2 linked regions of the Neodiprion lecontei genome follow. The protein of the gene in region 2 binds, or shares a complex with, the protein of the main gene of each other region. Links are inferred from orthologs where the notes say so. Each region holds a gene or a part of one and is shown on either strand. Other genes may lie near its edges.

Region 1 (6,949 bases), on a different chromosome or scaffold from region 2:
TGAAACGAATAACAAAAAAATCACAGAAGCAATATGACCCTGATGAAACAGTATCTGATGATGAAACAAAGGTATTACATATTGAAGTTATGCTTCTATTAATTTCTTTCGTTGCCTCCTTTATGGATATTTAAATTTTTGACACTGCAGTGGTCCGATCATTTAAAGGTTAATAATTTTAGACACAGGGAACTAAATCGCGACCAAAAGTGCTAACAAAGCCAAAGAAGAAACTCATTGAATCAGAAGAATCGCTAGTCGAAAACAACAGTGATGAGGACATGTTTGGCGACGATGACGAGGACGTATGTAAGACATCGTCCAAAAAGCCTGCAAAATCATGGAGAGATGCTCCGACAGTGAAAAGTAGTAACACCATCAAACCGGGGGAGTATAAAAGTGTAAATAAGAGTAAAACACCAAGGAACAGGAGAGTTAACTTGTGTTCCTAATAAATTTCACCACATCGTACTAATTCCAATGAATATTTTCATTTTAAAGTTTCCGCCCTTTAGACGTTATCAGCTAATATATACATTATTTCACTATCAGCAACTACCCTATGTTACTATTCCTGTATTGATAATGATTGTGATTAAATATTTTGAATCATTTTTGTTATATCTTCCCGATTGATCAGTATGTTCATTGTACAATAAGCTATGAAATAATTATCAGGTGAGTGTTGAAATAAGGTCGTCCAAAGATTGTTTAGAATTAAATATCTTTTTTTTTACGGAATTGCATACACATATATACAGCCTGTAAAACCGGTACGACTATCACGTTTTGACCACCATCTACACCTCACTTGAATACAATGATCATGATGTTTCATTAACATGATTCCTTACTTTTTCAGTTTTTGCATTTGCGGAGCACTGATTTTGACCTTTCCAGGAAGGTTTCTGGCCATAACTTCATCTTTAACTGCCTTCAATAGATCCTTTTCTCGAGGCGTAGTTCCTCTATCTCGCAAAAACATCGCTACAGCAGTTTTTGCAGCTTTGCCTCTTTTCCCAGTTCCTGGAGTTAACTTTACCTTGTATCTGTATCAAAAAATATAATGATAACGTAAACATATTTTGCTCATTTAAGGTAAGCAAAATTTTATGAATCACTTGAATTTCACGTACTTATAGTTAATAAGAGTATTATAGGGAGCAACTATCGGCACAGCAAATAGTAACTCATCTTCTGCAATTGGCTTGCCAGTCAATTGATCCAACATATCTATTTCCGGAGCTGGTCCCACATCTTCCTCCCCATCTTCTTCGTTATAAGGATTTACTGTCGATACTTTTGGCATATAAGCTGTTCCCTTTTTTTTACCCTGCTGTTTTGGTCCAGAGGGATCTTTGTTTTTATTTTTACGCTTATCTTCTTTGGCTGCCCCTGCCGGCTGTAAATTTAAAGACCTGAACTAGCAATTTGTAACAGCTTTTGTACTTCTCAGCCACGAAAAATATCATGTACTTACCTTCAATGCCTCCATCAACCGTCTTCTGTCTTCTTCATCCTGATCTTTATATTTTTCTTTGATTTTTTTCAACTTTCCTTTCTGTCCTCTTTTAGGTAATTCGCGATCTTTTTGTTTAGATTCTTTTTCATTTTTGTTGTCTTGTTTTTCGGGTAATTTTTTTTCTTGATCCAGTTTTGACCCATCTTTCTCTTGTTTATTTGTTAATACAACGGGTTTGCCATCCCCAAGGTAAATCACATTCTCTTCTTGTTCTGTGAGCTTATTCTGAGGTTTTGTATCTCTTGTTGTGTTCAAGTGAGGTTTCAATCTATTGCAAGTAAGATATAAAACATAAGTGCAACAAGATAAAAGAATAAACCTAAAAATCTTCAGTGTCTCTCAAAGTTATAACTACAAGGCAAAATACTAGAATTGATTTATAAATAATTTCTGTTGAGAATCTTACGTTTTACCAGGCAGATTAATTTTTATCTGTGTGTTGGGAAAGTGTGGTCCTTCGTCAGAATCACTACCACTATCTTTTTCTATTATATCACTTTGTTTATCCGACCTGGATTTATCAGCATCGTTTAATTTCTCCGTTACGTCGGATTCTCCTTCTGCAATTGGTAATAGTTGAGTTTTCTGTGTTGCAGTATCTTCCTCTGTAAGAAAAGTTGAAACAAAGCATCGAAAGTTATCATTGTCTCCTCTAAGGGTAAACAATATTTTATCACATTAACATTAAAACAAGGTAAATATACCCAATTAAATACCTTCATCATTAGAATCACTTTCCAATTCAATCTCGTGATCTGACAATGCATTTGTTTCAGATGTAATATCTTCTTCCAAAGTTCGAACTTTTCTTTCGTCTTTATGACGCTCGATAGAACTTTCCTCAAGTCGAAATAAAAAACCCAATCCCATTACAAGCTGACATGGTGGTAAATAATTTTTTTTTCCACGTATCATGAATGATCCTGTGGTCAGGTATTCACCGGTTGGTGCTGTTTTTGATACTTGATCACTGTTTACCCACCAGGCACCGGCTACAACTTTTGCCTCCCATGCAACGCTGAAAATAAAAAGGTACTTTGCTCACTCTTACTTCAAGTTTTCCCTTACACGACACTTGCTACTCCACTGCTGTATCACCTGTATGAAACTGCCATAGTCCCTGCCTCTGCCAAAGTCTTTGGCGGTATTGGACCAGTCCCAGAATTTTTTACTACAATGGAACTGGCCCCAGTCAAATCTGCGTGAACATAAACATCCCCCTGTCGAAGGTACCGTTTTACAATTAGTTCGTTTTGCTGCTGATCTCTGCCACCGATTACTGGAAAAACATTAGCATTAACACCGGATAAATTATTTGAAAAACGATGTTAATTTTCAACACATACTCAAATAATTTTCAGAACTGATGAACCAGTAGAACTTTTCAAACCAGTACACTTTTCTTGCTTTATTGATACTGTGTATGGTTTGAACTTCTTTTAATGCCTGTTTAGTTTTCTTCTCTGCAGACTTCAGTGCTTTTCCTTGTGACTCGATTGTCTTTTGCTGTTTCTTTGCTGCTGATCGTTTTTGATCGTAATATCGCCTAGCATTCCCGAACGCTGAATGAGCTAAGTCAACGTCAATAATCATTGGTTTTAACTCAGGTTCATCGTCATCACTTTGGTCACTATTTTCATATGGATCGCTCAGAAGTAAACTGATATGATTCGATTCTAATTTCAGGTGCTTTATAGCAGCTGCAACGGGATCTCCTCTGGCTTGAGCTTCCTTCAAAAGCGTTTCTATATCTGGCCAAGCCATTTGATTGGCCAGAGCACTTTGAATCGCTAAAATAGCATTATCCACTAAAACTTGATTCCGTGTAATCAGTTCCGCTTTTTGCTTATCCATTTCTTGTGTCTTTTCTAAGGATACAAGTCTCTGATCATGGTCCTTTCGAACGTTGTCTAACTTCTTCATAGCTTCTCGTTCCTGTTGTAAAGCTTTCAAGTCCAATTTTTGTCCTTCAAGACCAGAGAAAAATTCGTCTACCGCACGATCGAATGATTCAAATTCTTTAAAGGGGAGGTTTTTGTGCTGTTCGAAAAGCATGGGATGAAATTCTACGTTTGCAAAAATGTAATCTTCTTTTCCATCCTGCGAAGGTCTTGCTTCCTTCTTCTGTGTAATGTAACCCTTGCTTATGCTTTTAATAGCTTCTGTAAAAATCTTGTCAGCCGCCTCAAGAGCAAGAACTAATTTTGGAAAATCGTTGGCTACATCGAAATTTTTTCCAATTTTACAATTGACTGGGAAACCTGTCTGTAATAGAACATGGTCTATAATAGCAGGGCCGAACTCTAAGTGTGGGTTTAAAATTTTTTTCAATGGCTCTCCAGTTTTTCCACTCAACACACATTCATGGATCTGTTCCATTGGTGGCATAGTCGTCAAGCGAGCGCGATCGGATGGATATTTTTCTTTCACAGCAAACCTAAGAGTGTTTTATAATCGTCCGATTATATACGAGTTTTACAATTTTATAAGGAAAGATACTTCTTTCAGTAATGAAGTTCAATGTTTACTTTGGAGTACATTTAGCATTATCTCACAACACACCTTACTTTCTCTCCCTCGGTGTGAGGCCTCAAGATGTTTAAAATATTCATCTCATTATCGGTAAGCACAATATTCCCACGATCGTACAATTCCAGAATGACATGATACCCTGCTTCTCCTGTGCCAAATTGCATATCTACTATGCGGTCAACTCCCAGCTGCTTCAAGCTCTCGAGACGTTTGTTTTTCAAATGTTTACGCATCTACATAAATTGCCCAAGTATTAGGAATTTGAATAATAATGTGTAACTGCACAATAAAAATCGAATTTCACCTTCATGCTGAAGCCAGAAGGAGCAACATTTTTGGGCCATTCAAAAGCGGTTGTGTGAATTCGATTTCCTGACTCCAGAAGAAGAACGACTTTCTCTTCGCTACGCTGTAAGCGAATGAGGTAAGTTCGATTGTCTATGTCATAAATTTGGTTGACACGCATCCCGATGAGCCTGAGTATTCAATGAAATCGAATGAACATTGTGATTAAAAAACTTGTAATCGGAATAAAACTAAAACAGAGATATAACCTTAAATTATTTTCATTTGAAATTATTTTCATTTCACTGAAATTTACCCACCTTTGCAGCTCTGTGACAGAGCACACAAGATCGTACGTATTAAATCGAGTCTTCATATTTGTATTTACTCATAAATTTGACGTATCGAAAATTTCGGAAATGTTTGGCACATTTCCGCACGTCTGTCAACAACGACGGGACGGCTATTGAGGGCTCTATTGCAAACCTACAATACATATGCATACCTCTGCCTGCATACGCGCAATACGTGAACACATCAGTAATCGAGAGGCGTACCTCAGGATTGGTAAAAGCTAAAATTTGACCCAACATCATGCTAACAATAAACTTGAGTAGTGAAAATTATTATAAAAGTATTTGTTCTTGAAAAATAAATTCCTTAGTTACAGATATTAAAAATAAATATATTTTTTCACACATTTCGAAGCCACAAGTTCAAATTTTGCAGAAGTATTTTGTTCCATGGGTAAAAACTATATTTTTTCCAAATACTTCTTCCTGAGTTTAATTGAAGAAATAGGAATAAACGAAAAAAATTTAATATAGGAATAAAGAACGTAAGAGCAAACATGCCAAAAATTTATCTAGAGTCTTAGATTCAAGTAACATGATAGAGCTAGTTATCTAGTGAAATGAAGACTCCGGCATCCATTTATTATTTTTGTACACACCATTTATTTCGGTCTTTCACAGATAGAATATAAAATGACATATACAGTTATAAGTGTGCTTAACGGTAAGACTTCTGGTAGCGGGCACGAGCTCCCGGTCCACCAAACTTCTTCGGCTCACAGCGTCTCGGGTCCGCAACAAGCAGGGTTCTGTCGTATTGAATGAGCATGTCTTTGATCTCCTTTTTGCTCGCTTCGTCGACATCTATAACAGGAAGAATATATCATTTTACTAGAAAATAGTTGCAAGATTCTTCAAAAGAAAGGTGCAATAATTATTACATAAATCAAAAATTGAAACAAAGATTTTTCTTGACACCATGTAATAAAATTAATGGTATTACACAATTTATATATGTATACAAACATATGCTGTCTTGGTCATTAATTAGACTAGCATCTTATAGAATGGAAAGAATACAATTCATAATAATCCATGATCAATACTTACACTTTTGGTAGTACGAAACTAAAGCTTTAGAAATCGCCTGACGAATGGCATAGATCTGGGCAACGTGTCCACCTCCATTAACCCTTACTCTAATGTCGACGGCTGAGAATTTCTCCTAAGAAAAAAAGTATAATTTCTATGATCAATTTGTTAGTAGGTGTTTTGACAGTACAATGCATGAGTTAATGTTAGAAGTCTCAGATTCCTTATTTTATTTCATTCAGAAAATCATTTTCGGAATAAGTAAACATCACTGTTGTAAAATAGGTGCTAGAAACCAACACATTTGCCTTGATGAGGTTATTTTTGAGGTTAGGATTAGGCGGGTGAGTCGATTGAATAAAAAAAAAACTTCATTGAAGTCGAAAATATAACGTTTAGGAAATGAAAGTGAGAAACGATGGAAAATAAACAGTTCAAATAATACGAAACCTTACCTTGCCGAGAAGGAGAATTGGCTCCTGAAGTTTGTACTGGAGCACTCGCGGCTCGACCATTTCCAAGGGACGTCCATTGACTCTGAGGTTGCCACGACCGCGTTTGCAATAAGCAACAGCGGTTGCGCTTTTCTAAAGATAATAAATTGATGATTACGGATGGGTGGAAGGTGTTTAACGAGTTTCTCAACGTCAAAAAGCCGACTAACCAAACGCGGTCGCCATTTTTTCGAGCATGTGAGCCAGTGAAATATGTAAAATATCATTCAGGCTTACCTTGCGGCCGAAGACCTGCACGGAATGAATGGGCTCTTTCTTTGTCTGTAAAAGAGAAATATTTTTTATTAAAGCACGGTTACTGAACGTTCGAATTTTTTCAAAATAAATATTAACTCGGTTCGGTGACGCCAAAGTACCTTCTGCATTTTGGAGGGTTCCTCGTGGAAAGGAAGTTGAGTGTGTATCTCGAATACCTCACCGTCAAAAGAGCACTACTCTAGTCAACAACATTATGGAATGAATGTAATTTTCTCCATATTCTTGAAGCGTCGAAATTATTCAACTTTAAATTGGAGATATCTATTCATTCCAATATTTGAATTCAGAAATTAGTTTATCACTAGATCTTGTTTGCAATATTAACGGTGAGTTTATTTATCATTTTTATATCCACCGACCGTCGTGTTGCTTCCGTGCTCATTCCGACTTCGGTGAACTCAATGCTTCCGCTTTCGGTTTATCGCGATTTGGATAGTAAAGACTTCAAGTCT
Region 2 (5,754 bases):
TAACAGCTACTTGTTTAGTCACATCTAGTAACACAGACGACACTTCAGCTTGTGAAAACCACTCTTTTACTGCAGGATCCTTCCTATTATGTTTGAACAAAGCACACTTGACCGCATGCCTAAGGATTATTTTATTTTCGTTCTGTAACTGTTGTAAGTTTGCACTTTGTATATTTGTTTGGACAATTTATCATAAAATTTATTTTCAAGACATTTTTGAATTAATTACTTATTGGACGGAATATCTACCTCTGATAATGAAGCAAGAACTGTTTTCTTGTCCAATTTATCCAAATATTTGATGAGGCTGAACAATAACATTATCAATAGCTCCGTCTGTTCTGGCTTTTCAATCAACCATTTTCTCAAAGTCTTATTGTAAAAATCGAGAAAACTGGTATCTTTTCCACACGATTTTGTCAATGCAATAAAAAGGTCTTTGCTTTCAAAGTTTGTGATTAATTTATAACAGGTTAACATGACAGCTGATTCAGAAGAATCTTTATTGATGTTATCAAAATGAACGGAAGTTATTTTGTTGATTAGTTGAGCTAATTCTGTACAATACTTCAGGTCTTCTTCTGGAACTTTAGGCAAAACTTCGTCGCTTTTTTCTGCTCGGTCGTTTGAATCAAAAAATTTGACTCTCAAATTTTTGCGAGTCTCTAATGTGGTATTTTTTAAACTGAGAAACAAGTCCAGCAATGAGTCATACAAGTTTGAAATGTGAACTGAATCAAAATTTGCTTCAGTAGAATGAATTAGATTCAAAAGTGTCTCCTCAAGAGTAGACCAAAATTGTTGAACTAAATGACCATACGACTTGTAATCGGCGACGCTTCGATTTTTACTCCAATAACGAATGAGCTGGCTTATTTGTTTAAAAATCAAAGGTTTCACTGGTGAAATCTCTACCAAACACCATTCCAATGTTGGCATCAACTAGAACGTGAAAATAAAATATATACTTTACAAATTTTGGTATTCCAAATTTAACACTTACTTACTTTCATTGTTCCTAATGATCATCACTTGAGTTATTAATAGTTAGTATTAAAAATAATTTTACCTGTTGTTTCAGTAAAGTTTCGCACAAGATTTCATCCTCATTATTCAAAAGAATCACATAACGCAAACACTCGACGAATGCAGTGACCACTGCCAGCATCTCTGAGTAGCTGAGTTGAACGCTCTTGACTTTAAAGCTGTACGAAATAATTATGATTATTTGTTTGTTTCACTTTCTATTTGCTGCCCAATTACTTTTACTTAGGTGAACAATTACCCCTTCCGTAAATTATTAAAGAAATTTGTGTAAAAGTTCATCTTGTTCTCGTTTTGTATAGGAAAGTGGCTGATGAAGGGCAGCAAATTAGGATAAATTGCATTGGCGCTGCCATTACCTCCTTCTCTTAAAACATGCCACAACTTAGGTATTATGAGCTTTTCAATGCTGACTACTGTATGCCAACCCTAGAGAACATGAATTAAACTCTAATAATCAATTTGCTAATTCTGCAGCTGAATATGTACATTGTCATCCTTTCTATTACCTCTATTTTACATATTGCAAGAAGCACAGCCTCCCACACAACTGGCAAGACACCAGGATCTGTTTCATCAAGATTGTTCATAATGGTGGTGATCAATTTCTTTTTCTCGTTCTTGTACAATTCTTCGGCGTGTTGAATCATTGAGGCAAGAACATTGAAGAATCCAGCTCTGACTAGAGGTATTTCATGTTTAACCAATTTCCAGAACTTATTGTGTGATAAAATTTTATCGTGAATCTTTGCCACCTTCTCTATTTGCTGAGGAGAAATTGTTTTCAAGTATAAAGAGTATCCTTGTAAACTTGATATCAATAATCTCTGGTATCTCATGTCCATTTCTTCAGGTGTAACTGTCCTTAAAATCAAAGAAATTAATAAAAAATTTCATATGTCATTGACACATTACCCTCTTCACAAAAATACATAGTATTTTTGCATACTTATTATTTCCAAGGGTTTGCGGCGTTTGATTTGTTATATTGTCGCAGATGTAAGTCAAAATTTCTTCCTGACAGTGTGCAATTGCGTCTGCTAATTTATTTGGTGGGAATGTTTGCTGTAAAAAGTAAATGGGAATTACTTGCGGTCTGGAAGATTGTTTACCTGCTGTTATTAATTATTATACCTGGAAAGCATTGGTAGCAGCAGAGGCTGCAGGCGCGTATGTATCATACTGTGACGTAAACCACGGTCCAGCCAGCTGTTTCAAATACGGAGCGATATTTCTTCCCGCAGGTTTAACAATGGCCAAATGCGCCACATGCGCAGCTTCTCTAACTCTATGTTCCACATCAATAGCAAGCAGACAATATATGCGGGGCCAAAATGGAAGGACTGCTAGAATAGTTTTTGCGGTCGAGTTGTTGCATAGCTCAGTAAACTCCTGCAATGCCTGTAAAATTTTCTGAGCATAAAAATACCGAACCAACAAATTCAACGAGGATTCACCTTTAATTTTGTCGTTCCATCTTTTTTATTCATTTTCTTCAACAGCAGTTGAAAGTGAGAGTCCAGTTTACTCATGTCGATTTCGTCCAAGGTACTAATCGTTAGTCTTGGTAAGAGGGGAATATATCCTCCATCCTTTGCCCCTGAAAACCCAACGAAGTTGGGCATTGAGGCTTCGAGCAGCTCTGCACTGCGACCGCTACTTGATGGCTATAATAAATAGTTGAACTCTTCAATTTTAGACCATTTGTATCAACAGATATAGAAAATGATGAAATAAAAAATTGGACATCAAAATATTAGATTTATTAATCTATAAGCTGCCAGTCAAAGACTCTGGCAGGGATATGAAGATTGGTATCTCTGTCTAAAACAGCCAGCGACACACGCTGTCATCGTTACAAATGTACTCATAATACAATTGAACAAAATATCAGAAAACAGCTAGTCAGTGAAACCCTGTGGATATCACATTCGGTGAGTATTAATTGAATAAAAAATAGGCGGGTGACAAAGCGAATTATTCGGTAAAAAAATTGAACATATTTTTCTGACAGCAGATTGCTTGTAATAAAACTTGTTGTCACGCACTTACCCTTGCATTATTTTTAGTACGTTGTGCCTGTTTGTTTTTTCCCATTTCAACGAGTCTCTAAAATAAAACTTCCAGACTGTATTATAGAAACTGTTCAATATTATTAATGTTTTGACAAATTCAACCCTTGAAGAATTTCTAACCACATTTCAGCCAGTGATGTCCGTGACTTACGTATCGCTCCACAGTGTATAAAAAAAATGTAGAGATACTAACAGCTTACATTTCACAACCCTAAAATTCGGTCAATCAGTAGTGCTCTCTGCGTCGCGCAACTCAAGTCGGTAAACGGTCGGTACGTAAAGACGACAGGACTAATATTATCATCACGTGTACCCAGATGGTTGATGCAGTGTCGGATGTTATTATGACTATGAAACGACCACCGAGCCGTACACCGTCGCCAACCCACAACCATGCAAATTCATTTACGGCGATTCATTTCAACCCAATTCAGCAATGTTAATCTTACTGCATCTCCGTCATATCGACAAAAATAATTTTATTTGAATCCGTGCACAACATAGATATACACGATTGGCTGTTAGAAACCAGTTATTGATATAAACAATAGGAAAATAGCCGGAGGTATTATGAAGGACATATGTAATGGTACTTGTATGTAACTTCTGTCCTTGTAATCGGCAATGTCAATCTAACTCCACCGGATAAACAAAAATAACATTATCTAAATAGATGCGCAATAAACATGCACATGGTTTACTGCTAACAGAGTTAGAAAAACCACTTCTTGATGCAAAGGATGGGAGACATAGTCAATACTATATATAGGATATCAGAAACTCACGAATGGATATCACCTAAGGATAGATTTTCCAAATTCTTTATGATCAAATTTTCATCAATTATCTACAATATCTCTGTCAAAAAAATACAGACGAAAGGTTGTAAGACCTTTCGGAAGCTTCAAGAGTTTTCCGCTTCCAATAATCCATTGGTTTTTTCTGAGACAAGATTCTGATCTATCGAAGTTTTCTGTAGATTTCCGCAAACAGAATTTACAAATTTTGCAGACCTAGGTAGAAGAATTTCATGAAGTGAAGCGGAGACATTGGTAGAACGTTAATGAGTTACATTACATATGTTAAAATTACAAGGAACTTGTTAGAAATTCATGTAATTGCTTCGTAAGTATCCAAGAAATATGTGTCGTTGATGAGTTATTGGAACAGCATCGGGATCCAATAGTGGGGTGATTGTCAGTTTTGGAGAAATATATATATACATATAGGTAAAAAAAAGCGCAGGTAAATTTGAATTTACGAATTCACTTTAACTAAACTAGAGAAATCCGACGGTATTACGATTCCACATGCATTACATGTTATTGAAGCATGAGTTTTATTGACAATGCTTAAATTTACGCAAGAATAAAATTGTCATTTGAAAAACTACAATATGTTAGTATTTCACCAGTGAAAATAAGTTCACTTATGCTCGTTTCCACACCACCGCAAGCGGTAGAGCACCCGGCGCGTTTTTTTTTACGTGGTATCCCCAGTAGGCCTACTCCACGGAGAATACTTGCAAGATCGATCTTACGTTCTTCGAAAACTTGCACATGACTTTTTTTCACATGTTAATTATGGTAAATTGTTTTTCCCAATCAATTTGAACTCGTGTATATTCGCAGTTCAGTCGAAATTTTTCACTTCGTATATCCCGCTGACTATTTATTATCGATGAAAGATGATTGTTTTAATTATAGATGAAAGATGGTTGTTTTAATTATGGATGAAGGGTGATTGTTTTTATCTTATAAGTGAACGTGAATTGACTTTGGATGTTCGCGCACGGGTTTTTTCCTATGAGGTATGAGATGATCATTAAAATGGAGAACCTGGTGAATACGCAACACAATCAACAACTAAACCAAGATTGAAAACACGAATCGCTGTAAGACGTTGGCATTTACCTATTGAAAGACGATGCAGAAATCTTTGAAGAAATGGAAACGAATCTGAGTAGAATAAGCACAACCACCAAAATACAACAGAGCTGTATAATTCTATAGTGAAATACAAATCGAACATGACCTATGAGCGACTCAAGAAAAAAACTACAGCAATAAATTGTACCACACTTTGTAACCACCAACTACATCGCTAAATCTATATATCGGTGAAAAAAAAGATGACTGACTCTGAACCAGACCTGAACTAGACTTAAGCCATACCTAAGCCTGAAAAATGAAGCGTTAATTTTTCAGTATAGTCATTAAAACTCAGTTACCTGGAACAGACGAAAATATAATTAGTAACATATGTCGATACAGGCAGAAATATACTTATCTTAAAATTAGGTAAATAAAAACTGTAATTAACGAAATAGAGACACATTAATTAATTGAAACAGACATAAGATTTAATTAGCTGAAACAGACAAAAGGCTTGATTAGCTGAAATAGACAAAAAGTTTGATTAGCTAAAACAGACAAAAGGTTTGATTATCTGGAACAGATAAAGGGTTGGATTATCTGGAATGGACAAAAAGTTTGATTAGCTGAAATGGGCAAAAAGTTTGATTAACTGAAACAGATAAAAGGTTTGATTAGCTGAAACAGACAAAAATATTGATTAGCTGAAAGAGACAGAAAGTCCTGATTACCTGAAACAAACAAAACGTTTGATTAGCTGA

Evidence for each region.
Region 1: E3 ubiquitin-protein ligase listerin (region 2) and nuclear export mediator factor NEMF homolog share a complex: the UniProt entries of both Drosophila melanogaster proteins name them as parts of the ribosome quality control complex. The link is inferred for Neodiprion lecontei from reciprocal best matches to the Drosophila melanogaster genes Ltn1 and Clbn.

The regions. Positions count from the first base shown.
Region 1 is NC_060261.1:7,470,267-7,477,215, forward strand, and holds nuclear export mediator factor NEMF homolog, read right to left. Parts: upstream 4,800-6,949; 5' UTR 4,716-4,799; coding exon 4,660-4,715; intron 4,531-4,659; coding exon 4,359-4,530; intron 4,288-4,358; coding exon 4,085-4,287; intron 3,960-4,084; coding exon 2,869-3,959; intron 2,802-2,868; coding exon 2,621-2,801; intron 2,541-2,620; coding exon 2,239-2,540; intron 2,128-2,238; coding exon 1,929-2,127; intron 1,791-1,928; coding exon 1,481-1,790; intron 1,403-1,480; coding exon 1,137-1,402; intron 1,050-1,136; coding exon 851-1,049; 3' UTR 711-850; downstream 1-710. Other genes in the region: serine/threonine-protein kinase VRK1, read left to right, coding at 1-71, 183-452; 40S ribosomal protein S16, read right to left, coding at 5,351-5,496, 5,743-5,857, 6,180-6,311, 6,456-6,500, 6,596-6,604. UniProt on the Drosophila melanogaster protein: Key component of the ribosome quality control complex (RQC), a ribosome-associated complex that mediates the extraction of incompletely synthesized nascent chains from stalled ribosomes as well as their ubiquitin-mediated proteasomal degradation.
Region 2 is NC_060260.1:8,073,803-8,079,556, forward strand, and holds the start of E3 ubiquitin-protein ligase listerin, read right to left. Parts: upstream 3,292-5,754; 5' UTR 3,142-3,291; coding exon 3,097-3,141; intron 2,712-3,096; coding exon 2,502-2,711; intron 2,446-2,501; coding exon 2,179-2,445; intron 2,110-2,178; coding exon 1,994-2,109; intron 1,909-1,993; coding exon 1,554-1,908; intron 1,474-1,553; coding exon 1,286-1,473; intron 1,206-1,285; coding exon 1,070-1,205; intron 943-1,069; coding exon 250-942; intron 149-249; coding exon 1-148. UniProt on the Drosophila melanogaster protein: E3 ubiquitin-protein ligase component of the ribosome quality control complex (RQC), a ribosome-associated complex that mediates ubiquitination and extraction of incompletely synthesized nascent chains for proteasomal degradation.